Neurospora crassa OR74A: one gene and its partners. The protein of the gene in region 1 interacts with the protein of each later gene in a pairwise test. Links are inferred from orthologs where the notes say so. Each region holds a gene or a part of one and is shown in the gene's direction. Other genes may lie near its edges.

What was found.
Region 2: the proteins of NCU00981 (region 1) and NCU02640 interact in binary tests that used the Saccharomyces cerevisiae proteins (3 or more experiments, as listed by UniProt). The link is inferred for Neurospora crassa OR74A from reciprocal best matches to the Saccharomyces cerevisiae genes NSA2 and CGR1.
Region 3: the proteins of NCU00981 (region 1) and NCU05289 interact in binary tests that used the Saccharomyces cerevisiae proteins (3 or more experiments, as listed by UniProt). The link is inferred for Neurospora crassa OR74A from reciprocal best matches to the Saccharomyces cerevisiae genes NSA2 and NOG1.
Region 4: the proteins of NCU00981 (region 1) and NCU01257 interact in binary tests that used the Saccharomyces cerevisiae proteins (3 or more experiments, as listed by UniProt). The link is inferred for Neurospora crassa OR74A from reciprocal best matches to the Saccharomyces cerevisiae genes NSA2 and EBP2.
Region 5: the proteins of NCU00981 (region 1) and NCU09349 interact in binary tests that used the Saccharomyces cerevisiae proteins (3 or more experiments, as listed by UniProt). The link is inferred for Neurospora crassa OR74A from reciprocal best matches to the Saccharomyces cerevisiae genes NSA2 and HAS1.
Region 6: the proteins of NCU00981 (region 1) and NCU01612 interact in binary tests that used the Saccharomyces cerevisiae proteins (3 or more experiments, as listed by UniProt). The link is inferred for Neurospora crassa OR74A from reciprocal best matches to the Saccharomyces cerevisiae genes NSA2 and PRP43.
Region 7: the proteins of NCU00981 (region 1) and NCU11175 interact in binary tests that used the Saccharomyces cerevisiae proteins (3 or more experiments, as listed by UniProt). The link is inferred for Neurospora crassa OR74A from reciprocal best matches to the Saccharomyces cerevisiae genes NSA2 and DRS1.

The regions. Positions count from the first base shown.
Region 1 is NC_026501.1:6,508,331-6,512,466, reverse strand, and holds NCU00981 (ribosome biogenesis protein NSA2), read left to right. Parts: upstream 1-1,589; 5' UTR 1,590-1,773; coding exon 1,774-1,776; intron 1,777-1,893; coding exon 1,894-1,912; intron 1,913-1,988; coding exon 1,989-2,274; intron 2,275-2,419; coding exon 2,420-2,861; intron 2,862-2,928; coding exon 2,929-2,964; 3' UTR 2,965-3,253; downstream 3,254-4,136. Other genes in the region: NCU00980 (hypothetical protein), read left to right, coding at 1-894. UniProt on the Saccharomyces cerevisiae protein: Involved in the biogenesis of the 60S ribosomal subunit. May play a part in the quality control of pre-60S particles. Under normal, rapid growth conditions, high levels of NSA2 would allow the progression of pre-60S particles through the ITS2 processing.
Region 2 is NC_026501.1:3,022,766-3,025,989, forward strand, and holds NCU02640 (hypothetical protein), read left to right. Parts: upstream 1-1,519; 5' UTR 1,520-1,553; coding exon 1,554-1,638; intron 1,639-1,706; coding exon 1,707-1,852; intron 1,853-1,914; coding exon 1,915-2,055; 3' UTR 2,056-2,490; downstream 2,491-3,224. Other genes in the region: arg-1 (argininosuccinate synthase), read right to left, coding at 1-304, 364-680, 749-775, 840-853, 933-946, 1,052-1,080; NCU02641 (hypothetical protein), read left to right, coding at 2,839-3,224. UniProt on the Saccharomyces cerevisiae protein: Involved in nucleolar integrity and required for processing of the pre-rRNA for the 60S ribosome subunit.
Region 3 is NC_026504.1:5,445,681-5,449,654, forward strand, and holds the start of NCU05289 (nucleolar GTP-binding protein 1), read left to right. Parts: upstream 1-1,174; 5' UTR 1,175-1,366; coding exon 1,367-1,398; intron 1,399-1,454; coding exon 1,455-1,484; intron 1,485-1,585; coding exon 1,586-1,614; intron 1,615-1,679; coding exon 1,680-1,697; intron 1,698-1,767; coding exon 1,768-1,911; intron 1,912-2,013; coding exon 2,014-3,074; intron 3,075-3,145; coding exon 3,146-3,790; intron 3,791-3,883; coding exon 3,884-3,925; 3' UTR 3,926-3,974. Other genes in the region: NCU05290 (orotate phosphoribosyltransferase), read right to left, coding at 44-745. UniProt on the Saccharomyces cerevisiae protein: Involved in the biogenesis of the 60S ribosomal subunit.
Region 4 is NC_026505.1:3,393,320-3,397,427, reverse strand, and holds NCU01257 (hypothetical protein), read left to right. Parts: upstream 1-1,830; 5' UTR 1,831-1,886; coding exon 1,887-2,841; intron 2,842-2,968; coding exon 2,969-3,324; 3' UTR 3,325-3,608; downstream 3,609-4,108. Other genes in the region: pheromone mfa-1, read left to right, coding at 56-130. UniProt on the Saccharomyces cerevisiae protein: Required for the processing of the 27S pre-rRNA. Probably involved in the step of the processing of the 27 SA precursor into the 27 SB intermediate.
Region 5 is NC_026502.1:4,196,383-4,200,893, forward strand, and holds NCU09349 (ATP-dependent RNA helicase has-1), read left to right. Parts: upstream 1-1,501; 5' UTR 1,502-1,644; coding exon 1,645-3,261; intron 3,262-3,330; coding exon 3,331-3,450; 3' UTR 3,451-3,726; downstream 3,727-4,511. Other genes in the region: NCU09350 (aspartic-type endopeptidase), read right to left, coding at 4,256-4,511. UniProt on the Saccharomyces cerevisiae protein: ATP-dependent RNA helicase involved in 40S ribosomal subunit biogenesis. Required for the processing and cleavage of 35S pre-rRNA at sites A0, A1, and A2, leading to mature 18S rRNA.
Region 6 is NC_026502.1:2,956,416-2,961,179, forward strand, and holds the start of NCU01612 (pre-mRNA splicing factor ATP-dependent RNA helicase PRP43), read left to right. Parts: upstream 1-1,776; 5' UTR 1,777-2,000; coding exon 2,001-4,199; intron 4,200-4,265; coding exon 4,266-4,391; 3' UTR 4,392-4,764. Other genes in the region: pp-2 (protein arginine N-methyltransferase HSL7), read right to left, coding at 1-769, 853-987. UniProt on the Saccharomyces cerevisiae protein: Pre-mRNA processing factor involved in disassembly of spliceosomes after the release of mature mRNA.
Region 7 is NC_026503.1:3,109,569-3,114,322, forward strand, and holds NCU11175 (ATP-dependent RNA helicase drs-1), read left to right. Parts: upstream 1-1,804; 5' UTR 1,805-1,975; coding exon 1,976-3,703; intron 3,704-3,760; coding exon 3,761-4,522; 3' UTR 4,523-4,659; downstream 4,660-4,754. Other genes in the region: NCU00234 (hypothetical protein), read left to right, coding at 1-1,318. UniProt on the Saccharomyces cerevisiae protein: ATP-binding RNA helicase involved in ribosome assembly.

The DNA.
Region 1 (4,136 bases):
GCTCCGGTGTCAACCAAGACCACATCGACGCAGTCAAAGGTGGGAGGAACAAGCTCGAATGGGAATAAGGCTCCACTTTCGCGACCGCTCGTCAGCCGACCCGCCCCTAGCGCTCCTGTCGCCGGCTCTGGACCTCCGAAGAAACGCTCCTATGCAGAGATCATGGCAAGGGCCCAGGCCAATCAGCCCATGCTGTCATCCGTTGGAAAGATTCAGCACAAGAAGGTGGAGAAGCAGTTGACGCTGAAGGAACGCAAGGAATTAAAGGCCGAGGAAGCGAAAAAGGGCAAGAAGGATGTAAGGCCACCGACTACCGGGAGGAGCGGTGTGACAGCTGGGCCAACCCGCAATGGTACCAACGGCACGACTGCGAACCGTCAGCGGAGTATCACCCCCTCAGCCCCGGCTGGCGCCAAGTCCAAGACAGGCCAAAATGCCGTGGAGGAGAAGAAGGTAAAGAAGGCTGCTTTAGCGACGACTGGATACCAAGGCACGGCACGTCCCCGCCCAGGGGCCACCACCACAAAACCAGGAGCATCCACCTCGGCAGGCGCAAGTAGGGGCCGTGGGCTGTCCGGTTATGGCGCCTCATTCTCACGTCCCCGGAGACGCGAGGAGGAGGATGAAGAGTTGGACGATTTCATCGAGTACGACGAAGATGAGGACGATGGCTACGGCTATGGTCGTCGCGGTGGTTACGAGTCACTGGAAGAGGATGACTCAGACATGGAGGCGGGATTGTCCGACATCGACGCGGAGGAACGCCGGGCAGAGTTGCAGGCTCGCAGAGAAGACATGGAGCAGGAGGCGCTGGAGAAGAGGTTGAAGCGCGAGAAGGAGGAAAGAAAGCGGGCAGCACTTGCAAAACTCAAGTCCAGAGCCGGAGACCGCTGATATGTCGTGGTTGCGTGGCGTGTCTCCTTCTTTCTTTTGCCTCTAAATTGGGAAGGTTTCGGCGCATCGTGATAATTTCAAGGCAGGAATTCGTTTTCTGGAGACGGTTTTGCAATGGCGTTGGCTGGAAGACAGGACGGACACCCAGAAACATTTTGCATCAGCGTCTGGAGTTTAGTCATTTTGCACGGATTCCGGTTTCATTGGCGGGCGTTGGCTGGCAATAGAGCCCGTCGGACGAATTATAGTATAGGTTGTCATGACACGGTGTAGCATATCTAGATATCTTAACACCCCCAAGCATACCACGTCTTTGGGTTTTGCCTTTGTTGACATACCTACTGTGCTCGTTGAAGCGGGTTATGCGAGCCACACAACTAGTGTCCCTTGGTAATAACCTAGTTGCAGGAGCCATTCTACGAATGGTAAGGTGATCTCCGGATCTATACAAAAGTTGTCCACTGGCCTTCCATCAAGGTTCTCGTCCTCAACGGGCGGCTCTGGCTGCCGCGGTGCACTTCCAATGCCCTGCAGCTGGCAGGCACCTTCATCCGAACCCACTCCACGTTTTCCTGGACATGCTGTTAAGTAGATATCAACCAATGACAGGTGATGAAGCTGCCCCACTATGTCCACCTCTTTACGGGTCTCCGCCACTGGAGGAGCCGCCCGATAAGGAAAGCTAGCCTTGAATGGTTTTTTTATCGGCTTCAAGACGTCCGTTCAGCAGGCATTCGCATAGGTAGAGGTACTGAAGCATATTGACCTAAACCGCATCGTCATTCTCGTCGCCCTTCGTCGCCCTACAACATCTGAAGGCCAGATTGCGTCGCCACATATCTTGAACCGCAAGACCCTCAAAGGGCCTAAAACACCAATATGGTACGGATATCATTTCTTCGAATTGCCCTCCCAATCCACAGCCACTCTCCTCAACATCATGACCCCTTCCGATCACTTGAGAGCAGACCATGCTAACCGACGTTTTCCTGAATACAGCCTCAGAACGAATACATCGGTATAGTTCCCTTCGCACTCGATCTTGATTACCGTCGACCTGTTTCCAGTCCCTAACCAATTATTTCGTTTCGCAGAACGCGCCCAGAAGCTTCACGGTAAGCGTCTGGACACCGAGGAGCGCGCACGCAAGAAGGCTGCCCGTGAGGGTCACAAGCAGAGCGAGAATGCACAGAACTTGCGTGGCCTGAGGGCCAAGCTCTTTGCCAAGGAGCGTCATGCCCAGAAGATCCAGATGCGCAAGGCCATCAAGCAGCACGAGGAGCGCAATGTCAAGGGCGCCCCCGAGGAGAAGGACCCTTCGAACCCCGTTCCCGCTTATCTGCTCGACCGTTCGAACCCCACGAGTGCGAAGGCTTTGAGGTACGTCACTTGAATGGGAGGACACATGAGAAGCGAACGGCCGCGGCGGAGGTGGAGGCCAATGTGAATGCAATGATGGCAGTAGTCATGGAGGTTGGAAAGGGTCCCATACGATGACGAGAGACTGACCGTTTTCTTCGTGCAGTTCCCAGATCAAGAGCAAGCGTGCCGAGAAGGCCGCTCGTTTCTCGGTCCCTATTCCCAAGGTCAAGGGTATCAGCGAAGAGGAGCTTTTCAAGGTCGTCAAGACGGGCAAGAAGGTGCACAAGAAGGGCTGGAAGCGCGTCGTCACCAAGCCAACATTCGTCGGACCCGATTTCACCAGACGCCCAGTCAAGTACGAACGCTTCATCCGGCCCATGGGTCTCCGTTACAAGAAGGCCAACGTCACCCACCCTACCCTCAATGTCACGGTTCAGCTCCCCATTCTCGGCGTCAAGAAGAACCCCAGCAACCCCCTTTATACCCAGCTTGGTGTTCTGTCCAAGGGTACTATTATCGAGGTCAACGTTTCCGATCTTGGTATGGTCACCGCGTCGGGCAAAATTGCCTGGGGTCGTTATGCGCAGATCACCAACAACCCTGAGGTATGACCAGCACAACCCCGCCTCTTAACTTTACATGGACGAACTGCTAATACTTAACTTCCACCAGAACGACGGATGCTTGAACGCTGTGCTCCTGGTTTAAGCGCAAGAGTGAAGAGGGTGATGGTTTGATTTGTCTAATTATATGTCTAGTCTCTTGGGCGGCAACTGTAACGGGATTGCGTTAAATCTGATTTTGCATCTGGGACTGGCGTCTGGTGTTTTGAAAGAGGATCGACACTCACGGCCGCGCAAAATATCTCGTCCGGGGGTTCACTTAGGTAGTATAGTGGTTAAGATACACACACAATCTGCGGTAGAACATTATACCCTCCGATCATTTGTTTTGGTTGATTGTATCACCTGATGGTTTAGAAGACATGGATTAATACGATAAGACACATAGATATATCTTCTCTGGTTGCTGCTGCGCTTGATCTAGGTTGACTCCCATGGGTTTCGAGCAGACTATGCTGGCAAGCGATTAACCTTACAAAGGTCTAAATGGCTGTATGGAACCCTGCATCCTGAGTCGATGGAAATTTGCTGGTCGATTTGACATGCAACACCGCAAGCAACTAACGCAAGGGCAACACATTGACTTCTACATCAGCTCAGAGCATCTAGCTTGTCTTCTGTATCTTGATTTTAGAAGGAGAGCAGTTCCGAGCTTCATCACTCCAGGGTCAACCCAGCCTCCAAGAATCAAAAGCAGGTATTTTCTATCCAGACCGACGAGTAACTTCTGTACTCTTCAAGCCCACTTGCCACCACTCAACGGTCAACGAAACGCTGATACCGTACCAACGAAGAGCTACTCGAAGCGATATAAAGAAGCGATTTGCCCATGTCTCGGGATCCTAGCTTTAATGGCCCCGGGAAAGCGCAGGAATCGGTAAGATGCATCGTAGTCACCCTCTCCTTGAAGCCAAAATCTACCAGAGAATGTGCAAACCAGCTTTTCAACTAAGCCAAACTAGGTAAGGTAAACAACCGGAACCCCAATGGATGAAACCAGAAGAACCAGTCATGATTTAGGCGATCTCCCTACTCTTTTGAGAGGCTCTGGCCTCGTCAACCAGCCGTCAGAAGATATACCACTCTAGAGGTATGAAGCAGTGGCAAACCGGCAGACGAAGTGAAGTGTTTGAGACTAGCTCACTTGTTTGCTCCTGGTCCGGACTACCGACGTGGCCATCGCTGATGAAGGAAACGAGAAAGATATGTCCGTAGCGGTAGGCAAGGCACTCGTTATTCGCGAGAAGAGAGGACAAG
Region 2 (3,224 bases), about 3.5 Mb from region 1:
CTTGACGGGGATACCCTTCTCAAAGACGATGGTGAACTCCTGGGGAGTGTTGGGGGCGTCCTGGGGGTCAACAGTGCGGGTCCAGAGCTCCTTGGGGGGAGTGTGGTTGGGGTCCTCAAGAATGCCAGCCTCGTAGCTGCAGTGGACAAGGTTGTCATCCATGGACCAAGGGGCCTTGGGGGTCGAGGAGACGGGGATGTTCTTGTCGGCGGCGTACTTCAGGAGATCCTGACGACCCTGGAAGCGAGCACAGAACTCGGGAAGTCTCCAGGGAGCAATGACCTTGATCTCGGGGTTGCAGGCCCTGGTGTCACGTCAGTGTTTGTGCGTCGGATGAGGCTCAAGAGGAGGGAATCAGCATACTTGAAGGCAAGCTCGAAGCGGACCTGGTCGTTGCCCTTGCCAGTGCAGCCGTGGGAGACGAACTCGCAGTTGTATTGCTCGGCAACGCGGACCTGGGCACGGGCAATGATGGGGCGGGCGAGGGAGGTGCCGAGGAGGTAGCGGTCCTCATAGATGGCATTGCACTGGATGGCACGGAAGACGATCTGGTCAACGAACTCCTGCTGGAGGTCGAGGATCACCATCTCCTCAGCACCGAGCTTCTTGGCCTTGGCGCGGACCTCATCCCAGTTCTCCTCCTGGCCGACATTGGCGAGGAAGCAGACGACGGTGTAGCCCTGTCGAGTCACTCGGGTTAATATTACAGCTCGGGAGGGGAGCGCGGGGGTTGGTTGGTTTTCTCTACCTGCTCAATCAACCAGCAGAGGATGGTCTGCAGTCACAGATGTCAGTCAATGCGCTCTATAAGATCAGAGGGAAGCTTCAGGAGGACTCACGGAAGTATCAAGACCTGTATACGGTGATCAATTGGTGAGCAATTGCATTCGTGGCAGGCGGATCTCTTGTGTTGTATAGCTCCAGGATCGTACCTCCGGAATAGGCGCTATGAACGGGAGGGACTGTCAGTCAGGCGTCAAAGCTCCAGAATAGCCTGTGCCACAAGTGGAATCACCAGACGTTATTCAACACTGCTCTGGGTGTTACTTACAGACAGACGCGGCCCTTGGACTCAGACATTTTGGCGGATTGGTGCTTGCGGAGGATGGCTACTCTCGACAGTTACAGTTCCTGAACTTGATCTTGTAAGAAAGACAAAGGCGATATCGGGCGGCAACTCGAGGCTTTTTATTAGTGTCTCCCACAGCGTCAAACAGTCGACTGAGTCACTTTATCTTATCACTGCGGGGCAGACCCTGGGATCCAACGTCAGTCACCATCAACATGAGACCAGGCACATCGATGCCGGAAGCAAGGGTGACGAGGGTCCGCCCCGCAGTTTTAACGCCTGTTCTCCATACTACGACCCGCTCAGCGATAACGTTGCAACGACAGGCCCGATAACCAATTCTGCCGTCCAAATTTTTCTGCTCGAGTGCGACCGCATTCACTGACCGCCTTTGGTAGTTCTGCGTCTGGCATCGCCGTCACAACGCTCTGCATCAAACCCAGCTAATGCACGGATTGCTGGTCGACTTTAACGATTCGCAACAATGTCCTCTACTACCACAACAACACAAACAACGTCTCAGGTGGAGACCAAGGCGGTTTCCAAGCCCCTTGGCATGAGGGTCAATGGTAAGTCTTTGTCCGTTACGTTCTGCCATCCTAGGTCGAATGAAGTACTAATTGCCATTATCCTACAGGAAAGCAATGGCACGCCCCCAAAAAGGCCTTCCGTCCCGGCTCCGGGTTGACATCGTATGAGAAACGCGCAAAGGAGAGGCAGTTGCTTGCGGCTGTCAAGGCTAAGGAGAAGGAGCTTAAGGATGAGAAGGAGGCTGAGCGCAAGGTTGGTGCAAATACGAATCCGGGAGACAAGATGCCAGGGGCTGATCCATCATTTCCACACAGAGACGCATCGAAGCCCTCAAGGAGAAGCGGGCAAAGAAGGAGGAGAAGGAACGTTACGAGAAGATGGCCGAGAAGATGCACAAGAAGAGGGTGGAGAGGCTCAAGCGCAAGGAGAAGCGCAACAAGCTTATCAACTCTTGAACGAGGAGGCTGTGAACGGCACTCAGGACATGCGGAACACCACGTCTCACTCCTTTCCGTCCAACGATGGGTACCGAACCGAATCACCGGCCTCGCCGTTCTACCAATGCCCGAAAGACGAAAGCCAAACCCCCTTCGCAGCGCGGCGTCTTCCTCGGCAAATATGATGGTAGCGGCGTTACTTTATTTTGAATGAGTGTCTATAATGGCATGGCATAATTGGAGTTGGAAGTTCGCAGCAGCCACGGAAGGCCGTGGTTTGTCAGGAAGAACTCAGCGGACAGGGCGGATGGATGAGAAACAACCCGGAAAAACAACGCCAAAAAGAAAGGCGTACATCAATGACTAGGTACTGCGGGTGATAAGGGACCACAGCAATATTCTGATACCCCAAGCAATTCTTACACGGAACATAACAAAAAGCTTACCATTACCATTCTTGGTGGCTTTGCAGCCACTTGAAACCCATCTTCCAGGTGATTCTCTTCTCGTGACAAACTTTGGTTGTGGTTATTTTGCTTCAGTTCACATGTCCAGTGAAGCAACCCCTGCACAGGTTGGATAGGTTCCGCGAAAGGATCGTTAAGGCAGCCGGCTTCCCGTCACCGGGCAGTGAGTGCCATTGGTCCCCTGCGCCGCGTCCCCGCCGCGATGCACCTCTGTGAGTCGTCGCAACGTCAGTGGCCCCGTCGACTTTAGGTACATCCTGGCTTACACCTCCACTTTTTGCCTACCCGTAGAGGTACTCTAATCTGGCGTTATTACGCATCATTACACTTTGGTATGTCTCGGAATCACCAGATAAAGCGCGATAAAGAAAAGGAAAGCCGCTCGAGTGCCGTCATGTTTCCGAACGCCCCGAATGGAGTCGAAGGGCTCAAAGGAGGATCCCACTCTCCACATCGTCAGCGACACCAAATCACTCGCTCCATCACCGAATTGCCGTCTTCGCTCCATCTGCATCGTCATCGATCAAACCGCGACCGCCTCGGGAAGGAGAAAGAGAAAGACAAAGAAAAGCACAAGGACAAGGACAAATCCAGGGGCCGAGAAAGGGAGCGCGAAAAGGGGAAGGAGCGCGATGGATTAAACATCGACGTACAGAGTGCGAACCCGACATTGCAGTCCACCGGTCGAGGCCGCTTCTCTTTCGAAGGCTTCGGCATGTC
Region 3 (3,974 bases), on another chromosome or scaffold:
GATATACATGTTACTAGTTTATCAGAGAATCCAACTCCAGCGTTTAGTCGGTAGCCTTGTACTTGGCGCGGTATTCCTCCGTCTTCTCGACGTCCTCAGGGGAGGCAAGACCCCTCATGCCCTCAATGATGTCGTCCAGAGTAAGGATGGCAAAGATGGGAATGCCGTACTCCTTGCGGAGCTCGCCCATAGCACTGGGGCCGGGCTTGCTATCGTCACCATCAGCGGCAGGGAGCTTCTCCATGCGATCAAGAGCAACGACGATGCCAGCGACAATGCCGCCCTCCTTCTCGATCTTGGCGATAGCCTCACGCTTAGCAGTGCCAGCAGTGATGACATCGTCAACGATGAGGATCCTCTTGCCCTTCAGAGGGGCGCCAACAATGTTGCCTCCCTCGCCATGGTCCTTGGCCTCCTTGCGGTCGAAAGAGTAGCAGATCTTGCCGTAGGTCTCGGGGTCAAGCTGGGCAAGCTTGTCGGTGGCAGCAGTAGCGAGGGGAATGCCCTTGTAGGCGGGGCCGAAAACAATGTCAAAGTCCAATTGGCCGCTCTTGTGAGCCTCGATAATGCACTTGGCGTAGGCAGTGGAGATGGCCTGGAGAAGGTCGGCACGGTAGAAGTCGCCGGCGTTGAAGAAGTAGGGGGAAATGCGCTTGGACTTGAGCTCGAAGCTGCCGAACTTGAGGACGCCGCCGTCGATGGAGGCCTTGAGGAAGTCAGCCTTGTAAGGCGAGAGAGCGGCCATTGTGCTGGTACGTAGTGTTTGTAGGATTGGAATTGAAGCTGAAAGAAGAAGAAGAGATTTCAGAAGAACAGCGTTGACGTCTGTCTGCCTGGCAACTGAATAGCTGGAGGAACCTGGGGAAAATTGAGAAAATGGAGGGAGGGGCCGAAGGAAGGGTTCAGTTCCTGGCGGCGTCACACGCGGCAGTCTTTCAACCGAGTCAATCAGATGGTGGGTTACGAGTGGGCCACCTAGTTCCAGGAGCCAGGCCCGCGAAAGCCCGGTCATCGGCCACTTGGGCGCGGTGGGGTCCCTGAAAAAATGTGGGGTTAGAAAATCCTAAATTCCACACTAGCCGAATCCTTAAGCACCCCTTGGCAGCATGTCTTGGCAGCGCACACTACCTCTAGGTTCAATCCACTTTGGCACTCTGCTGTTATCTTATCGATTGGAGCAGCCGCTGGAAAAATATTTCGAAGTAGACTTTCCATTTGGCAGCGCAGCGCCTCCCCGTCGCCCTCCAACACCGCCCCCTCCCCCCGCAGCCGGTCTCTATCCTTCAGACCGTCCGTCCGACCTCATTGTCCTGCACTTCCAGTCCGAGATCTTCTCACCAGCAAGTGCTTGACATCTATACCCGAAATGACGTGGAAGGACATTGCCCCTGTGCCTACGTAAGGACATCTTGGTTGTTGTGTTGTTGTTTGGCATCGCTAACTCGCTTCTACAGGGCACAGGAATTCATCGACATCATCCTCTCGTAAGTCGACATCGGCAGCCCCCAACCACGACGATGCGAAGTCTTCGAGTTCGAGTCCAATGGCTTGGCCACGGTGGTGAAGGATATTAACTGTTCAACAGGAGGACACAGCGTCGCTTGCCGACTCAGAGTATGTTGTACAATGTGGAAAATTACGTGAAGCATGGCATGATCGCTAACCTTTACTTTGAATAGTTCGTGCTGGTTTCAAGAGTATGTCGTCTCGATATCCGATACTTTGTATGAGAATTCGAATAGATCATTGACACGCGACACCGAACAGTCAGCAGAATTAGAGCCTTCTACACCCGTAAGGTCAAGTTCACACAGGAAACATGCAGCGAAAAGTTCGGCGCCATCGTCTCGAGCTTCCCCATCCTCGCCGACCAGCATCCTTTCCACCGCGATTTGATGAACATTCTCTACGGTACGAATCCCGCGCTTCCCTGCGACAGGCGGTTTCAGCAACAGCGGGTTGTGAACCGCGCCTGGTCTTGTTGGGAATAGTGGCTGACAAGGTGATGGATAGATGCCGACCACTTCAAGGTTGCCCTTGGTCAGGTCTCGACCGCCAAGCACTTGATCGAGACCATCTCTCGTGATTACGTCCGTCTCCTCAAGTACTCGCAAAGTTTGTACCAGTGCAAGCAGTTGAAGAGAGCCGCCCTCGGTCGTATGGCCACCCTCATCAAGCGTCTGAAAGACCCTCTCGCCTACCTCGACCAGGTCCGCCAGCATTTGGCCAGATTGCCCGATATCAACCCTACCACCCGTACCCTCCTCGTTGCCGGCTTCCCCAACGTCGGCAAGTCTTCGTTCGTGCGCTCCGTCACCCGCGCTGATACCCCTGTCGAGCCCTATGCTTTCACCACCAAGAGCTTGTTCGTCGGCCACCTCGACTACAAGTACCTCCGTTACCAGGTCATCGATACCCCTGGTATTCTCGACCACCCTCTCGAAGAGATGAACACCATCGAAATGCAGTCAGTTACTGCCCTTGCCCATCTCAGAGCCGCCGTCATGTTCTTCATCGATATCTCGGAGCAGTGCGGTTACTCGCTCAAGGCCCAGTGCAACTTGTTTAGGTCCATCAAGCCCCTTTTCGAGAACAAGATGGTCTACGTTGTCCTGAACAAGATGGATATCAAGACCGTTGAGGACCTCGACCCCGAATCCCAGGCCGATCTCATGGACCTTACCAAGTCCGGCAACATTCAGCTTTTGCGCGCCTCTTGCGCTACTCAGGACGGTGTCCAGGAAGTCAAGAACACCGTTTGCGAGGCTCTCCTCGTTGAGCGTGTCAACCAGAAGTACAAGGCCGGTACCAGCAGCAACGGCACCATGGGCTCCCGTCTCACCGAGGTCATGTCCCGTATTCACGTCGCCCAGCCCGCCGATGGTGTTCTCCGCGAGACCTTCATTCCCGAGGCCGTCAAGGGTCTCAAGAAGTACGACAAGGCCGACCCCGAGAGGAAACTTCTCGCCAGGGATATCGAGGAGCAGAACGGTGGTGCTGGTGTCTTCAACGTCGATCTCAGGGAGAACTGGATCTTGGCCAACCCCGAGTGGAAGTACGACAAGATTCCCGAGGTCAGTATCTCTCGCATTCCGTCTCCCCCAAATTAAACCCGGTTACTAACATGTCACGCTTTGACGAACAGATTGTCGACGGCAAGAACGTCTACGACTTCATCGACCCCGATATCGAGGCCAAGCTGGCCGCTCTCGAAGAGGAAGAGGAGCGTCTCGAGAAGGAGGGCTTCTACAAGTCGGACTCGGACCTCGGCGACGAGTCGGAGGAGGAGATCCTGCAAAAGGCCGAGTACATCCGCGAGAAGCACAAGCTGATCCGCAACGAGGCCAAGATGAAGAAGTCGCTCAAGAACCGCGCCATAATCCCCCGGAAAATGCAGAAGAAGTCGTTCGCCCAGCTCGAGGACCACATCGACCAGCTCGGCGTCGACACCGAGGAGATCAACCTGCGCGGCCGTGCCCAGGTGCGCGAGCCCACTCGCGGCCGCTCGCTGGCCCGCAGCCGCAACGCCACCGAGGACCCCGACGCCATGGAGGTGGACACGCCCAAGAGCGCCGCCGAGCGTCTTCGCTCTCAGAGCCGTCCGGCCCAGCGTGGCCAGGGCGCGACAAACAGGCGCGACGACGGTGTTACTGGTGGTGTGGGCATGGACGGGGAGACAGCCCGCTCCAAGGCCGAGAGGGTGGCCAAGCTCGGCCAGCGCAAGATGAACAGGATGGCCAGAGCCGGCGAGGCCGACAGGCATATTGGTGCTACCATGCCCAAGCATTTGGTACGTCTTTTTTCTTTTCTTTTCCCCTTCCTTCAATCCCCCTTTTCTCTTTTCTCTTTTCATTCCTAAACTAACCACACATGTTTTCTATAGTTCTCCGGCAAGCGTACCGTCGGCAAGACACAGCGTCGTTAATTTGGATCGATGATCCATATATGTTTGGGTTGGGTTGGGTTGGGTGTGT
Region 4 (4,108 bases), on another chromosome or scaffold:
CTCATCCCACAACAGCCTTTGAATCCATTCAATAAACAACCCACAAACCATCAACATGCCTTCCACCGCTGCTTCCACCAAGGTCCCCCAGACCACCATGAACTTCAACGGCTACTGCGTTGTTATGTAAATAACCTCACAGCGCCTTGAAGGGCCAACGAGAGCATTGAGAGGCAGATACCAACCAGCTTTCCTTCAGCAACCTTCTGGCAAACCACCCATCTCACCTGAGTGATCCTGTTCTCGCAACATCACTCGATGAGAACCAGTGAAGATCGGTATCTCGCCTCTCAACGTCAGACCAGCAATCTGCTTTTCCCTCTATCATGATTGAAAAGCCCACCTCTCGTTCCGCCACAACAGCAACCTCGCCTAGGAAGCTTCTTGTCTCTGCTTCATGGTGGACTCTGCACAATGGGAGCACCCACTGACAACATCCGGAGCGGTGAGGATCTTTCCTTGATGGGAATGGAAAAAACCTTTGTCAACCGGGGATATACATCCGCACACATCACACACACCATCCTTTCACATAAACGACTTTCGCTTCTTTTTGTTGGGGATAACTTCACACGGGACTACTTTTCGTCCACACGGAGCTTTCCCTCTTCAATTTTCGACACTCAGGCAACTCACCTTATCTTTCTGGACCCTTTCTCTCTTTTGTCGTTGATTCGACACCAAACACCCTTTGCGGACTGAGGACATCGCCGGCGGGAAACGATGCAGCAACTTCTCTTTGGTTCACACTCTTCGGCAAACGTCACCTGGGAGTCGGCGGACTCACACCTTCCAACCTCAACCTCTTCCATCTGCTGGGAGGGAGCTATTTCGCGACATGCTTCTCTCTTTTGTTGGGTGGGACTTGCACGGGCTTGGGTATGGCGCTTGGTTCACCACTCCTTTTTCTTTGCGCACTTTCTTGGAATTTTCTTGGATAGGACTGTAGAGGAGGGAAGTCTTCCTTTCTGTCTTGGCAGGGAGGGGGGACTCGCGGGATGAAATTTGTGGAGGGGGAGGACCATGTGGGGAGTTTTCACTGTATCTTTCTGATCTTGGTTTGCGGAGGGGAGGGATTGTGGGGGTGAGTTGGCTTGGTTGAAGGATTTGAAGAGTGTTAGTTCTTTTAATAAAAAAAAAACCCCGGTTGACACCATATCTTTGGATGCTCTCATGACCGTGACTACCTCTATGATTGTGAATTTCATTATCATCGTATGCCTCTTCGTAAGACTTTTCAGAGCAACTGACTTTAGTGATAAAGCTGTCAACTTGCAAATGGAACGCTTGATCGATCATCAAGGCAAGATACGCGGAGGAATGGCCTCGGCTCCGAGAAAATATACTACATCCCATTACATGTATCAGCTCGACGTCCCAGACATATTTCTGATCTGTTTCGGCCAGGTTAGGTTCGTGATGTTTGCGCGGGACAAGGCTCCTCCACTGAACGCGAAGTTTGATGTATCAGGAGACTCGTGTTGAATCACCTTGACACAGGCTGCGGGTAGCTTACGAGAAACTGGGCAGAGATACACAGGGCATGGTGATATACACTAGCAATCAATCTTGAGATCACCGAGAAAACGCAGTTCGGTGGGTGACCATCACCGTGACTACAGGCCCATTGTAACTCGTAACCTGAGGGTTGGGGTTTGATGTGCCAGATTCAGAGAGAGTGTGAAGGGCACTTCCAGGAGCTGGGCTGTGGATACCTCTATGCCGGGCGCCAAGCATCCACATTTGGGTCCGCCTCCGACCCACCAGGCTTATCTTATCGGGTAATGGCAGCCGCCATGTCAAAAAAAAGTTTCCAGAACTGCAAGCGCTGCCGCTTCTCGAGCTCATCATCCAAATCGATTGTACAGCAACCCCACATAATCACAATGCCGCGACAGTCCACCCGCACAAAAAAGCCGGCCACCAAGGCTCTTGAGGCTGAGAAGATCGAGAAGATTGTTGAAGAGAAGCCCCAGAAGGAGCAGAAGAAGCGTGGCAGAAAGCCCAAGCAGGTCGTCGAAGAAACCCCTGTAGAGGACAAGATGGATGTCGAGGAGGAGCAGAAGGCGGAAGAAACCACCACTCAGACCAAGGCCGACGAGAAACCAGAGCAACAGGAAGAGGCCGGTTCAGATTCTGAGGAGGGTAGTGACGACGAAGAGGACAACGATCTCGATCTTGATGCACTTGACGAATCCGATTCCGACTCAGAATTCGAGCGCGACCTGAACGAGAAGCAATCCGCCGCCGGCATCCAGGCAAACAAGTACCAGAAGGCCGCCGAGGAATCGAGCGACGAGGAGGAGGACGAGGATGAGATCGACATTGATGAGCTCGACGTCGACGGAGAAGAAGGAGAGGAAGTCAAGGCCATTTCGAGGGCGCGCCAGACAATAAACAACAAGCAAGGTCTCCTGACGGCGCTCAAGCGCTTCGCCCTCGACACAACCGACAAAGTCCCATTCGCCTTCCACCAGTCCATCGTTGCCAAGAAGGTGACGGAGGAGTCCATCCCCTCGATCGACGACGACCTGGCCCGCGAGCTGGCCTTCATGAACCAGGCGCTCGAGGCCGCCCGCGTCGGCCGCGCCCTCCTCCGCAAGGAGGGTGTCCCCTTCACCCGCCCTACCGACTACTTTGCCGAGACGCTGCGCAGCGACGAGACTATGGAGAAGGTCAAGGCCAAGCTTATCGAGGAGGCCACGGCCAAGAAGGCCTCGGCCGAGGCGCGCAAGCAGCGCGACCTCAAGAAGTTCGGCAAGCAGGTGCAGGTGGCCAAGCAACAGGAGCGTGCCAAGCAGAAGCGTGACACACTCGAAAAGATCAATCTTCTCAAGAAGAGTACGTGCCTCTCCTACCCTTCTCCTTCCCCTTCCCTTCTTAATTCCATAACAAGTTCTCTTCCTCTTCCTTCCCCTCCCCAACTTGATGATAACTGAAGCCAACTAACCTCCGCCTCCTTAAATAGAGCGCAAGGACGGCGGTGGCCCCACCGGCGCCAACGAAGCCGAAGACCTCTTTGACGTTGCCGTCGACAACGAGCTCAAGGGCGGCCCTGGCGGCAACAACAGCAAAAAGCGCGGCCGCGACGGCAAGGAGGGCGGCGGGCCCAACGCCAAGAGGCAACGGAAGGATGCCAAGTTTGGCTTCGGCGGCAAGAAGAAGTACGCCAAATCCAACGACGCCCTCTCGTCGGGCGACGTGAGCGGGTTCAGTGCGAGGAAGATGAAATCGGGCGGCCCAGCAGGCGGCAAGCCCAAGAAGTTCAAGCCTGCGCCTAGGCCTGGTAAGGCTAGGAGAAAGGCGGGGGCTGGAAAGAGGTGAAGTGAGTAAGCTTCACTGTGGCAGGAGCGAGAAGAAGCAGTGGAAGTGAAGAGCGGTGTCGATGCCATGATGGGTAATCTGTTTAGTTTCCAACCTAGTACAACAAAAGGTCAGCACGGCAGGTTGGTGACAAAGGTGGTAGTAGCGTGTATGAGTATACATCATCATGGGACCGGTCATACAACAAACATCATTGAAGGATTCAGATCAATTCAGTAGCCACTACCTTTACTTAGATACCTAAAGAGTTCTTTTCATGCCTTACAGTTTGATGGTGTTACCCGCTTGGCTCAAAGGTCCTTTTCTCATATCATTCATCTTGCAGAATGGCTATATCCGTTCACCCGAACAAACGGGTTCCTTACTTTCACCTTCATTCAAAGGCCCCCGATGTCGGCTCGTGAACAAAAACAAATCTCGGTCACTACAGTTTGTGAGAGTATCATCCTGTCACGGACGAGCCGCGCAAGGGCCATCGCTACTTTAAGACTAGGTACTTCAGATACACTAATACACGAGACATCCCCCTTTCACTCCTCGAACCCGCATGGTAAGGGGTTTGATGCGCAACACCATCGTAACGCCTGCTTGCTGCTATTCATCGAGACGAGCCTAAACCCAAACCCAGATTCAGACCCAAATAGACCTGGGAAGACCCATAACCACCAACGCCAGACATAGACCCGCCTTTCCTGAAGCTACAAGCAAATAGAAGAAAGAAACAACAACACAAAGAGCGGCTCATCCAATTCAACCCCACCGCTGTGTGGGATTAGGACGAAAA
Region 5 (4,511 bases), on another chromosome or scaffold:
CTGACTAAAAGTCTTGTTGTCTAGTTATCTATCGGTTGTTATGGCAAGCAAGAAATGATCCAATGACATCTCCCCTTACTTGTTCCATCCATGTTTGTCCTCTGCTCCCATAGTCCAGCCCTACAAGCAAGGCTATACGTAGCTCGAGACCCCATACCTTGTTTACTAGCCAAAGTCAATCGCAAGGGGCAAGCGGGAGCTAGGCAATTCGAAGCCAAATTACCAGCCCGATCGGCTTGAGCCGTGTCTACGCCTCCTGGGGCACCACTTGGCAGCAGAAAGACGGGGAAGTGAGATACAGAGTGTATCGAGATTTAACATAAACGTGGTTTCGATTCAAGAACCAGAAGTTCTTGTCCGATTTTATTTTATGGGATGCCTTCTGGATTGTTTCCGTGATGTCTGTCCGTGGTGTTGAGCGAGTGGTGTTGAAGAATAGGGCCATGGGACCAGATTATATCATGAACATCAACTTCCGTGCTGATACCTCCCATTGGAACCATTCTCAGCCTCAGATCGTGGAAAGATGCGACCCAAGGCAGCAGTGAGCCAAAGACCGAACCACACTTGTGACTCGGTCAACTCCATGGAAAATGATCATGTTTTCATGTAATAAAGGTGTTGTTACTTCCGACGTGACCAAGATAGCATCCCGTCAGCCTTGAGAGAATATGAAGGATTCCGAAGGGGTTCATGAAACTTCACTTCAGCCAATGTAATGATGCGAGGATATTGATCTGCCATGTGTACTGTTATGTATCGACCCAGGGGCCTCTCGGCGAGTGACACTTCCAACCCAGGGACCTGGATTCGAAGCTGACTGGTACGTTCCAATCTTGCGCCCTGTATCCCGCAGACGGGGTAAGTTTCCAGCTGCCCCGAATTATCGATTATCGATCAAGGCAACCCGTAGCCTGACTATGGACTTGTGTCAAGGCCTTCGAAGTCGTCCGCTGGACGGGAACTGCAAAGTCCACCAGGCTATTGACTGGTCTGTCTCAATCCACTAAACCTTTGGAATAGAAATGTAACATAAGAAGAATACTGCAATGCCAGGATCTCAGAGGTACTGTACAGCGTTTGAATATCCGCAGTGTAAAGCAATGCCACCATGGACGACATCCAGAGCCTAATTCCGTGAGAGGGACAACGAACATGAAAGACCGACTACACGCGGTTACGTTGAGTATATCATGTCTATGACAGACTGGAGTAATTGCAGGAGAGGTGAAAGCGTTGTGATAATAAACGAATATCAGAGAAGAAAACAACATAATGCGGATTTGAAGATAAGAGGAAATGGACAAGTTCAGTTCTCGACTCTCGCAAGCAATTGGGGGCACAATTGGCGGGTTCCGGGGTTCGGCTGATCTGCAGTCAAAAGTGGGGTCAACACTGGGACGGCTGTAGCGCACAGACCAGGTTTTCATCAGGAGAAGAGGGCAGAATTGGCAAAATTTTCACCGCCTGGTGTAATCCCTGGTTATCGAACAAGCGATAAGAAAAAAATCCCCAGCGAAAGAGAAGGCAGAGGAAGGATAACAGATTCGACTCGCTGGGAATTTGAACGGAACCATTGCGACGCCCTTTTCCCAGAGTATCGCAACCACCCACCGACAGTACCAACCCCCCCACGCCATCACGATGGCTTCCGAATTTAGCAAGAAGCGCAAGCTCAAGGACGCCAAGATTGCGACCGAAGATGGCGCCGCCACCGACAAGAAGACCAAGAAGGTGAAGAAGGACAAGAAGGAGAAGAAGGCCGCCGAAGAGGTCGTCGAGGACGCCACCCCCGAGGAGGAGAACGATGCCCAAAAGGCGGAGGAACAACAAGATGGCGACGAGGTCATCCCCACCGGCAACGGGGACAAGGAGGACAGCGACGACAAGGACGCTGAGGCCGGCGACGAACTCACAAAGACCAACGACTCCCTCATCGCCCCGTCCATCGCGACCAATGCCACCGACTTCTCCGAGCTCAACCTGTCCGACAAGACCATGAAGGCCATTGCCGAAATGGGCTTCACCAAGATGACCGAGATCCAGAGGAGAGGTATCCCGCCTCTGCTCGCCGGCAAGGACGTCCTCGGTGCGGCCAAGACCGGTTCCGGCAAGACCCTCGCCTTCCTCATTCCCGCTATCGAGATGCTCAGCTCCCTGCGCTTCAAGCCGAGAAACGGTACCGGTGCCATTGTCGTCACTCCTACCCGCGAATTGGCTCTCCAGATCTTCGGCGTCGCCCGCGAGCTCATGAAGAACCACTCCCAAACATACGGTGTCGTCATCGGCGGTGCCAACCGTCGTGCTGAGGCCGAGAAGCTGGGCAAGGGCGTCAACCTGCTCATTGCTACTCCCGGTCGTCTGCTCGATCACCTGCAAAACACTCCCTTTGTGTTCAAGAACATGCGATCGCTCATCATCGACGAGGCCGACCGTATTCTCGAGATTGGTTTCGAGGACGAAATGCGCCAGATCATCAAGATCCTGCCCAAGGAGGACCGTCAGACCATGCTCTTCTCCGCCACACAAACCACCAAGGTTGAGGATCTCGCCCGTATCTCGCTCCGTCCCGGTCCTCTTTACGTCAACGTCGATGAGGAGAAGCAGTTCAGCACGGTCGAGGGTCTGGACCAAGGCTACGTTGTCGTCGACGCCGACAAGCGCTTCCTGCTCCTCTTCTCTTTCCTCAAGAAGATGCAGAAGAAGAAGGTCATTGTCTTCTTCTCGTCCTGCAACTCGGTCAAGTACTACTCCGAACTTCTCCAGTACATCGATCTTCAGGTTCTCGATCTCCACGGCAAGCAGAAGCAGCAGAAGCGCACAAACACCTTTTTCGAATTCTGCAACGCCAAGCAGGGCACCCTCATCTGCACGGACGTTGCCGCCCGTGGTCTCGACATCCCCGCCGTTGATTGGATCGTCCAGTTCGATCCTCCTGATGACCCGCGCGACTACATTCACCGCGTCGGTCGTACCGCCCGTGGTAACAACACCAAGGGCCGTTCGCTGCTCTTCCTCCAGCCCAACGAGTTGGGTTTCCTCGCCCATCTCAAGGCCGCCAAGGTCCCCGTTGTGGAATACGACTTCCCCAAGAGCAAGATCCTCAACGTTCAGTCCCAGCTGGAGAAGCTGATCGGCCAGAACTACTACCTTAACCAGAGCGCCAAGGACGGTTACAGGTCGTATCTCCACGCCTATGCTTCGCACAGTTTGCGGTCGGTGTTTGATATCCATAAGCTTGACTTGGTTAAGGTGGCCAAGGTATGTTTTCTCTTCTCTCCCTTTTTCTTCCCCAACACCAGAACAGTCACTAACGTACTACAAAAACAGTCCTTCGGCTTCTCCACCCCTCCCAGGGTAGACATCACCCTGGCCTCCAGCATGTCGCGTGACAAGAAGCAGACGAGCAGGAGAGCGTATGGTAGCCAGCCGAAGCAGAACCGTCACTAAGCGAGGCGGGATTCGGTGTTCGTGTTGTTGTTGTTGTTGGTTAGAATACGAAAAGGGGATGATGATTTGTCAATGTTCTCTCTTAGATATCCATCGGGCATTCGGTGTGGAGCATAGTGGGTGTTTTCTTTTGTGTTGCTACTTTGCTGTTTACTTGTTGTTGTTTGCGCAAGCTGCCAAGGCGTTTTTGGTTGAAAAGTAAAACTGGAGGGCTTCAAATCAACAATTAATTTTTACTTTACGTTGCTGCTCCGTTGGTGTGGTATTTCTGATGCTGTGCCGTTCGGTCATCTCGGGTGTCTTTCCATGTGAGGATGGAACATATTATCATGCTGACAGTTTCATTTGATAAATGGTAAGAAAGACCTTGAACAAACCACATCATATCTATTTTGCTACGCAATTGGAAAGATCGTGATGTTGATATGGCTGATGGAAAGCATGGAGGTCCTGAGTGTCACTCTCTATCAAGGATCCTTTGTAGGGATTCATAATCAATACCCAAATTAGGTAGCTGACAACCGGTACCAACTCAACACTAACCTCCAACAACAAAGCATGAAACAACCCACTGATGACAGTCTACTATTTCAGAACGACCTACATCGATACCTATTCTATCTGCAGCCCCAATCGACCCCCCGAACCTGAACTACATAACAGACGGAAACTCCCCGACACAAACCAACCTAACAACTTTACCAAATTTCACCTCGTCCCCAATATCCTCCCCTTCCCCTTTCCCAATATCCTCTCCTTTCCCTTCCCATCACTTCCCCTCCCTCACATATCCCTATCGACAAACTCAATAAAACTCCCTCCCCAAAAACCTCATCTTCCCCCTCCCCACATCGAAAACCGTCAAGGCATTCTGCATAAACACATCCCCCAGAATATACGGCCCGGCCCCGCCGTCCGCAATGGCCGTCATGCACAGCCCCGTCAACGGATCGACCATGTCTTGATTGATCAAGTCGACAGGATTCAAGTAAAATGTTTTTCCGCCCAAGATCACGCCGACGCGCGGCACGATGGCGTCGCACGAGGTGAAGTAGGCGCCG
Region 6 (4,764 bases), on another chromosome or scaffold:
TAAGGGAAGGATGACCGGCCTTGTTCAGCGAGAAGATCTTCTTATCGAGGGTCAGGTAGTGCAGCGGCTCGGAGAACCAGCGCTCCTGCAGGTCCTTTTCAGGTACCCGCTTGGGAATGCGCAGGGCAACAAACAGACGACCGCTGTACTTGCAGACGGTCCGGATGGTGTGCCAACTGTCCCAGGTGCTGAAGAGATCGATCTCGGTGCCCTTGGCAGCATCGGTCTTGACGGTCTCCTTGGAGTTGGAGCTGCTACTACCGTCACCAGCAAGGAGAGAAGAAAGCGTCTCTGCCTCCTCCTCCAAACCAGGCTCGCGGTACATGGGCAAGTGAATGACCAGATTCACACGACCACCGACTTCCTGAGCCTCCTGAATGGCACGTGCATACTGAGCAACGGCACGGCCATCGTCCTGTCTTGGGCCGGGGATAATGATGGTCCTGGAGCCGCAGAAGTTGGCGTAGGCGAGCTCGAGGTTCAGCACCTGACGGGAGATGTCTGAGATGATGGGATCGGCAGAGCAGAGGTCGATCCATGGGCTGGCATAGGCGATGAGCGAGCCAACATAGCTGCTGGGAAACAGGGATGTATCGTCGTCAGTCAAGGTAGGAACCGTAGGAAGTGGCAGCGACGGGTTGGCCTTTTGGGCGTCAGTGAGTCCCCGTTCGGTGACCCACTGTTCCCGTTCTTGGAGATGGCTCTTGTACAAGTCGATCACGCGCTGGTGAAAGTGCTCGTTGGTGATGGGGGTGGTGACAAAGTTGAACTATTCTCATCTCATGTGTGTTAGAATTTATGCTGTTGCTCGTTCTTCTTTCTCTTCCTACTTTAATGTAAGGAAAGACTTACACCACTGTCCAAGATCTGGCCGTACTGATTGTCAGTGGGCGACTCATGTCGTTGGACATCATGCTGGCCAATGTAAAAGGGCGGCCGTTGCTCGAAAGACTCGGACTCGGGGTTAAACCCGCGATTTGAAGACATGATGAGTGAGTGACTGGACTTTTATGTGAATCCGAGTGAGTGAAAGAGAGTGGACGAGACTAGAAGTAAATAACCCCGCGATGGTCCAGGTTAGGTTTGAGGTGGTACGAACAGCAGCGGGAGGGGTACGGAGAAGGTAGCTATACTAGTCTCTGGGGCCTGTATACAGTAGAAGAATGTATAGGCTGTACTTTGATGAGGTATCGGACCCAATCACAGGGAAAATTGTAAAGACTGAAATCAAAGTTGGATGGTACTTTTTTTTTATTTTTCCCAAAACGGACTGACCCCATGGCAGTGGATATTTCCAGGGAAGAAGCACCAGAGGAAAAAGTCCAACCTCAACGGTCACCAACTCGAAATAAACAGGTATGGAGGGGTATAGATGGATAGGTACATGGAAAATGAAATAGCTGAGTGAAAGAAAGATTGCACACAAACCCAATGCGCCAAAAGTCACAATGTCACAATGTCACAATGTCACAAACTTCATCAACCTGCCTGCATTTTGCCTCTTTTTTTCTTTCTTTTTTTTTTCTTCTTCACGTGCAGCAGGAACAAACTGAGTGAACCTGACAGTTACAGAACAGTGTAGAAAATTACCGTCTTAGTGCCCATCAGGGTCCTGTCCAATGCTACAGTGATTTGCTTATCAGCGCTTGCCAAAGACACTCCTTACTCCACTGAAGCTTATCACTGTGACCCCTCATTGGTCGAGAGTCGCTGCGGCCAGGAACTGCCGGCCAGGTCTGACCTATCGCCCTGACATCAAACAAAAAAAAAGTTGTAGCCTCGCATGCCTGCCCACTGCCCTCCCCTCCACTCTGTTTCGCTGTTGTTCATCACTGCCACTGGAGGTGCCATAATCGACACTCCGCCTTCTGTTTTGCCTATCGCCGCTTCTCTTCTTCCCCTTCAGTTCGGTCTTCTTGTTTTGTTTCCTAGTACCCACCCCTCTCGCTCGAAGAAACAAGATATAAAAAAAAGGCCAGCTGCCCTCGGTCGGTACCACAATGGCCAGCCACGACGACAAAGGCGTCAAGAGATCCAACATGGACGGCAACGACCAGGACTCAAAGCGCATCAAGCGTGCCGAGAATGGCGATGCTGCCCCCGAAAAGTACAACCCCTACCTCGCCCATCTCAACGAGGACGGCAACGGCAACGGCACCAATGGCGACTTCGAATCGCCCCTCGACGCCTTCGAGAGGCACAAGACCACCGCCGCCCAGGCCGCCCAGGCCGAGGACTCGGAGCTCAACCCGTGGACCGGCCAGCCGCACTCGCAGAGATACTTCGACATCCTCAAAGTGAGGCGCGACCTCCCCGTCCACAAGCAGCGCCAGGAGTTCCTCGACATGTACCACAACACCCAGATCCTCGTCTTCGTCGGTGAGACGGGTTCCGGAAAGACCACCCAGATCCCCCAATACGTCCTCTACGACGAGCTCCCCCACACGAACGGCAAGCTCATCGCCTGTACCCAGCCCCGAAGGGTGGCGGCCATGTCGGTTGCCCAGCGTGTCGCGAACGAGTTGGATGTCGAACTGGGCCAGGAAGTCGGTTACAGCATTCGTTTCGAGAACCGGACCGGCCCCAAGACCATGCTCAAGTACATGACGGATGGTCAGCTCCTGCGCGAGTCCATGCACGACCACGACATGTCCCGCTACAGCTGCATCATTCTCGATGAAGCCCACGAACGTACCCTCGCGACCGATATCCTCATGGCCCTGCTCAAGCAGATCGCCGCCCGCAGGTCAGACCTCAAGATCATTGTCATGTCTGCCACGCTCGATGCCCAAAAGTTCCAGTCCTACTTCTACAACGCCCCATTGCTCGCCGTCCCCGGTCGTACCCATCCCGTCGAGATCTTCTATACCCCCGAGCCCGAGCGTGACTACCTCGAGGCCGCCGTACGGACCGTCCTCCAGATCCACGCCACTGAACCCGAGGGAGACATCTTGCTGTTCCTTACTGGTGAGGAGGAGATTGAGGATGCTTGCCGAAGAATCAGCTTGGAGGTGGACGACATGATTCGCGAGTCGGATGCTGGCCCCATGAAGGTTTACCCTCTTTACGGCACTCTCCCTCCTGCGCACCAACAGCGCATTTTCGAAAAGGCCCCCGAGCCCCTGCGCAAGGGTGGCAGGCCTGGTCGCAAGGTCATTGTCTCGACCAATATTGCCGAGACGTCCTTGACAATCGATGGTATCGTCTACGTCGTCGACCCCGGTTTCAGCAAGCAAAAGATTTACAACCCCCGCTCTCGTGTTGAGTCTTTGTTGGTTTCTCCTATCTCGAAGGCCTCTGCTCAGCAAAGAGCTGGTCGTGCTGGTCGTACACGGCCCGGTAAATGCTTCCGTCTTTACACCGAGAAGGCTTTCAAGAAGGAACTTATTGAGCAAACCTATCCTGAAATTCTCCGATCCAACCTGGCCAACACTGTTCTGGAGTTGAAGAAGCTTGGTGTTGAGGATTTGGTACACTTTGATCTCATGGACCCTCCTGCGCCCGAGACCATGATGCGCGCCCTGGAGGAGCTTAACTACCTCGCCTGCTTAGATGACGATGGTGAGCTTACGCGTCTCGGTGGTTTGGCTTCCGAGTTCCCGCTTGACCCCGCCCTCGCCGTCATGCTTATTTCGTCGCCCGAGTTCTACTGCTCCAACGAGATCCTTTCCATTGTGTCCCTCCTCTCCGTCCCTTCGATATGGGTACGCCCCAACAACGCGCGTAAGCGGGCCGACGAGATGAAGATGCAGTTCGCCCACCCCGACGGCGACCACCTGACGCTGCTGAACGCCTACCACGCCTTCAAGGGTGCCGAGACCAATGGCGACGACATGAAGCGCTGGTGCCACGAGCACTTCCTCTCATACCGTCACCTGTCGAGCGCCGATAACGTCCGGGCTCAGCTCAAGCGTATTATGGAGACGCACGACATTAGCCTGGTCAGCACGCCGTTCCAGGACAAGAACTACTACACCAACATCCGCCGCGCGCTCCTGGCTGGCTTCTTCATGCAGGTGGCCATGCGCGAGAGCAGCAACAGCAAGGTGTACAAGACGGTCAAGGACGACCAGCTCGTCATGATCCACCCGAGTACGTCGGTGACGAGCCCATACGACTGGGTCGTCTATAACGAGTTCGTTCTCACAACCAAGCAGTACGTCAGGACAGTGACCAACATTCGTCCTGAGTGGCTTCTTGTACGTATTCCCCTTTTATGAATTCCCTTTGTCAATGGCATCTTGAAACTGACCTATGTAAACCAGGAAATTGCCCCCGTCTACTACGACCTCGATACCTTTGAGAAGGGCGAGATAAAGTCGGCGCTCACTCGTATCACCGACAAGGTCAAGCGGAGGCAAGCCATCAAGGGCAGCGGCAGCGCGCGTTAGTGGCGTTGTAGAGACAGGAAGAGAAAGAACAAGTCTTCTTCCGCTGCTGCTGTGGTAGCTGATGGTAGTGGTCGTTGTGAAGAGACCAAGGATACCGAGAAAGAGAAGCCGAGTCGCCCGCCGCTCGTACACGTTACGGAGAACATCGCCCGCACCGGTGCGACCTCTTCCGCCGGGAACAGCAATGAGAAGCAGGAGAAGGAGAACTTGAAGATAAAGAAGAGGGGGGCGAGGAGAGGGCGGCGTCGGGGTGGAGGTAAAGATAGGGAAGGAAAGAAGATGGTGATGGAGGGGCAGTAGTAATCCAAGGTATATTATACCTACTTACCGGTGCCTGGATCCGGATTCAGAAGGGAGGGGGGGAAAAGGAAAA
Region 7 (4,754 bases), on another chromosome or scaffold:
ACAGCAGCAGGCCGAGCTGGCCAACGCCATCGTCGCGAACGAGTATAGACAGGGAAGGAAGGGTCCCGAGAAAAAGATGTTTGGGGGATTTTCGTCGTCGAAAACATCGTCGGATGGTCATCTATACGATACAGTTCAGCCAGTATTTGACGGATATCCTGGATCAACAGGCTATGATGATGTACGGTCAAACAATTCCAGCGACATATACGGCCATTCTCCTGTGATGCCACATTCGCCTTCATGGTCATACAATCAAGGACCTTGGGGTCACGATGCTGCAACAGGAGGTGCGTGGGAGAGAAGTACGGAGAGAGCAGGACTTGGAGGCGGGCTTGGGGTGACGGAAAATTTGAGCATCACCGGACGAGAACTCGAAGCTGCCCGCGCAAAGACTGTCCAGCCAATTCCTACGTCATACGGGCCGAACCCTGTCACTCCCACGCTAACGCCGCGGGCAAGCTCCAGGGGAGAACTTAATGAACGCGCTGCTGCCGACTCGATTTCCCTTGACAGCCGGCTTGGAGTACCCCCAATGCCCTCATTGCCCCAGTTATCTGCGGCCTCCGCAGCACCTCTCGGTGGCTATTACCCCGATTACCACAACTACGAACAGTACACCACCCCTCCTCCAACCGAAGCTCCAACTTCAACACCACATCTTCCTCTTCCTTCAGTTCCTACTACGCTCCCACGACCAAACCCAACAACCTCACAAACCCAACGGCCACAGCCCCCATTAATCGTCTCATATGGACCCAACCGAGTAACGCCCACTCCAGCTGTGACTTCGCCTACAGTGCCTCCCGACGAGTCTATGATTGAAAGACCACCTAGAGGAGTTGAATTACAAGGCGAACCCGCATCTCTGATGGAAAGGAGACATCCATGGGAGGACATTGATCTCCCGAGCGCCAGTAATAACGGTCCTTTACCACCATACGCATCGACAGAGGAGTACGCTGCAATGGAAAGCGGCGCGATCCGTAAGCTGGAGGAGCCAAGGGCGCATGCTGAGCTGCCACCAACCAAAGATGGCTACTATCATGCTACGTGGGATATTGTTGAGCACGAATTGCCAGGTGACGGATATCAACGAGACCCTCTCTACCCGCAAGCATCCGCGTCCGGACGTGGAAGGGATATCGATGAGCAGAAATTCTTGCTGGATGATGTTGAAATGGCGCATTTGAAGGCGCAGAAAGAACGAATCCGCGCTGAAATGAAGAAGAAGCAGAAGCAGAAGGAGACTTACCAGCAGGACCAGGGGCATGACCAGGACTTCCTTGGAGCGTCGGCGAGCTTCTCCACACGGTAGCACGAGTGATAATGTGGCGGTCCATGTGAAGAAAGTTACGTTGTGGGCAACTGATGTTTTGGAGGCGAAGGTTTGAGGATTAGCATTATACCATTGGCAAGGTGTCTGGCGTTCATTTTGGGTATCGACGGGGTAGATGACTCCTGTGTAGTATCATCATATAATACGGGCTGATACATCTGCGTTGAGAATAGCTGGACCATATGCCCCGCACAAGTATAAATATAGTCCTACTGTAGTAAGGACAAGGTCCTCTGGCTCTATAACATGAACGCGTATTCAATTTCTTGGGACAATGTGGTGTTGAACGAGTTGCTCCCGAAGACGGCAGGTACTCACTTGATAGTTGAGATGGTACGTACCCATCCCCGCAGCTGTCGACCAGCTGCCACTGATAAGATCCCCAGATCCTCCAATCACATTGACCGCCCGGCAGAAAAAGTTACAGACGGGCATGGTTCCCAAATTTTTGTTTTCCCTTTCGTTCTGCGGCGGAGGAAGAGACGAAAAAAGACCCCACTGACTGCTATCAGTTGTACAATCTTGACGATTCCACCAATTCCCACTCAGCATCGGGAGCTTCCCGTCGTTCTCTTTTCCAACACAACACTACAGAACAAACAACGGTCACAGACCGTTGCAACACCATCCACCACAATGGCGCCCTCCCAAAAGCGCAAAGCGATCGACGACGATTTCATCCTCACCATTTCCGACAATGAAGAAGACATCCCACTAGAAGAGGAGCAAGAAGTTGTACCCAGGAAGAAGGCCAAGACGGCCACACAACAATCGAACAAGCAAAAGAAGAAGAACAACAAGAAGTCCAAGAAACAGCAACAGACTGAAGATGACGACGACGAAGCCGAAACAAAAGAAGACGACGCCGCCGACCTCGGCATCTGGGGCGACAACGACGAAGACGACGGCGCCATGGATACCGAGTTCCAGTTCGTTGTCGACGGCCAGAACGAAGTGGACGCCGAGTTCGACGGCTGGGGTTTCGAGGGCGCGCACAAGGGTGTTGTGAAGGGCGCCAACGCGGGCGGGGACAAGAAGGCTGTGGATATCGATGAGATTATCAGAAGGAGGAGAGAGAGGAAGGCTGCTAAGGAGGGGAAAACCACGGCGACAAAAGAGGAGGAGGATAAGATGGAGGTTGATGAGGAAGAAGACGACATAGAAGAGATTGATGTGGATTTGGATGATGATGAGGATGGTGTCTTGGCTGACGATGCTTTTGGTATGGGTGTTGGGTCGGACGTGGAAGAGGAGGAGGAGAAGCAGGATGCGAAGATGGGGGGTGTTGATGGGGAGGATGAGGATAGTGAGGGTGAAGATGGGGAGAAGAAGGGAGAGGATGAAGACGAGGGCGATGCGTCGGATGATGACTCGGTTGCTACGGCCGTTGAGCATCCTGATGATGTGCAGTCATCGGATGATGAAGAGGGTATTGATGAGGAGGAGGAGGCCAAGATGAAGGAGTTCTTTGCGCCGGAGGAGGAGAATCAGCCTAAGAAGAAGGGCGAGATGTCTTCGTTCCAGGAGATGTCTCTCTCCCGTCCTATCCTTCGCGGTCTTACTTCCGTGGGCTTCACCAAGCCGACGCCCATTCAGGCCAAGACCATCCCCATTTCGCTTATGGGTAAGGATGTCGTCGGTGGTGCCGTCACCGGTTCCGGTAAGACGGCCGCCTTCGTCGTTCCCATCCTTGAGCGTCTCCTCTACCGTCCCAAGAAGGTTCCCACCACCCGCGTCGTTATTCTTACGCCCACCCGTGAGTTGGCTATCCAGTGTCACGCTGTCGCTGTCAAGCTCGCCAGCCATACCGACATCAAGTTCTGTCTGGCTGTCGGTGGTCTCAGTCTGAAGGTGCAAGAGGCCGAGCTCCGTCTTCGCCCGGATGTGGTCATTGCCACTCCTGGTCGTTTCATCGATCACATGCGCAACTCTGCCAGCTTCGCCGTCGACACCATCGAGATTCTCGTCCTCGATGAAGCCGATCGCATGCTCGAGGACGGTTTCGCGGACGAGTTGAACGAGATTCTTACCACCCTTCCCAAGTCCCGCCAGACCATGCTGTTCTCTGCCACCATGACGTCGTCTGTCGACAGGCTCATTCGCGCCGGTCTCAACAAGCCTGTGCGCATCATGGCCGATTCGCAGAAGAAGACTGCCGGTACGCTTGTTCAAGAGTTTGTCCGTCTCAGACCCGGTCGCGAATCGAAGAGGGAAGGATATCTGTTGCACATCTGCAAGACTATCTACACGGAGCGTGTCATTATCTTCTTCAGACAAAAGAAGATTGCGCACAAGATGAGGATCATCTTTGGTCTGTTTGGATTGTCGTGCGCCGAGTTGCACGGTAGCATGAACCAGGCTCAGGTATGTTTACGATTTACGATGCTCCAGATGGATGAGTGATACTAACAGGATCCATAGCGTATTCAAAGTGTCGAGGACTTCAGAGATGGAAAGGTCAACTTCCTCCTTGCCACCGATCTCGCCTCACGTGGTCTTGATATCAAGGGTGTCGACACCGTCATCAACTACGAGGCTCCCCAGACCCCCGAGATCTACGTCCATCGTGTCGGTCGTACAGCGCGTGCGGGCCGCAGCGGTACCGCTATTACCCTGGCTGCTGAGCCCGATCGCAAGGTCGTCAAGGCTGCCGTCAAGGCCGGCAAGTCTCAGGGCGCCAAGATCAGCAGTCGCATCATCGATCCCGCGGACGCCGACAAGTGGCAGGCCGAGATCGACGAGTTGGAAGATGAGATTGAGGAGATTATGCAGGAAGAGAAGGAGGAAAAGCAGCTGCAGAACATGGAGATGCAGGTCAAGAAGGGCGAGAACATGATCAAGTACGAGGACGAGATCAGCTCGAGGCCCAAGCGCACGTGGTTCGAGACGCAGGAGGACAAGAAGAAGGCCAAGGCGGCGGGCCGGGCCGAGCTCAACGGCGTCAGGGACAAGCTCAAGTCCAAGAACGAGGGCAAGTTGAGCAACAAGGACAGGAAGAAGCTCGACACCATGCAAGAGCGCAAGCAGGAGAGGACATACAAGAAGGGCAGCGCCGAGAGAGCCGGTAAGGGCGCGGTGCTGAACCTCAAGAAGGTCGTCAAGAAGGTGGGACGGTCTGCTGGGCCTAAGAAGAAGGGCGGCAATGCTGGTAAGGGTGGTAAGGGCAAGGGCAGGAGAAAGTAAATGTGAGGAGCACGATTCTGTTGTTGTTGTTGAGTTTCTAAATGTAATTGAGCTTCAAGCTAAGTCTAGTGTGCTTTTGATACCCGAGTGGGCAAAAAGAAATAAGAAGCTGTCTGATGATGTTGTCTGCTTCCCTCAGCAAAGAGAGTCGTGATCATCAAGGTCAGACTTGCCTCTTCACATGGGACTATGATTGGGTGTGGAGTTGCGGATCAGGGGGCCTTGCGGCGAG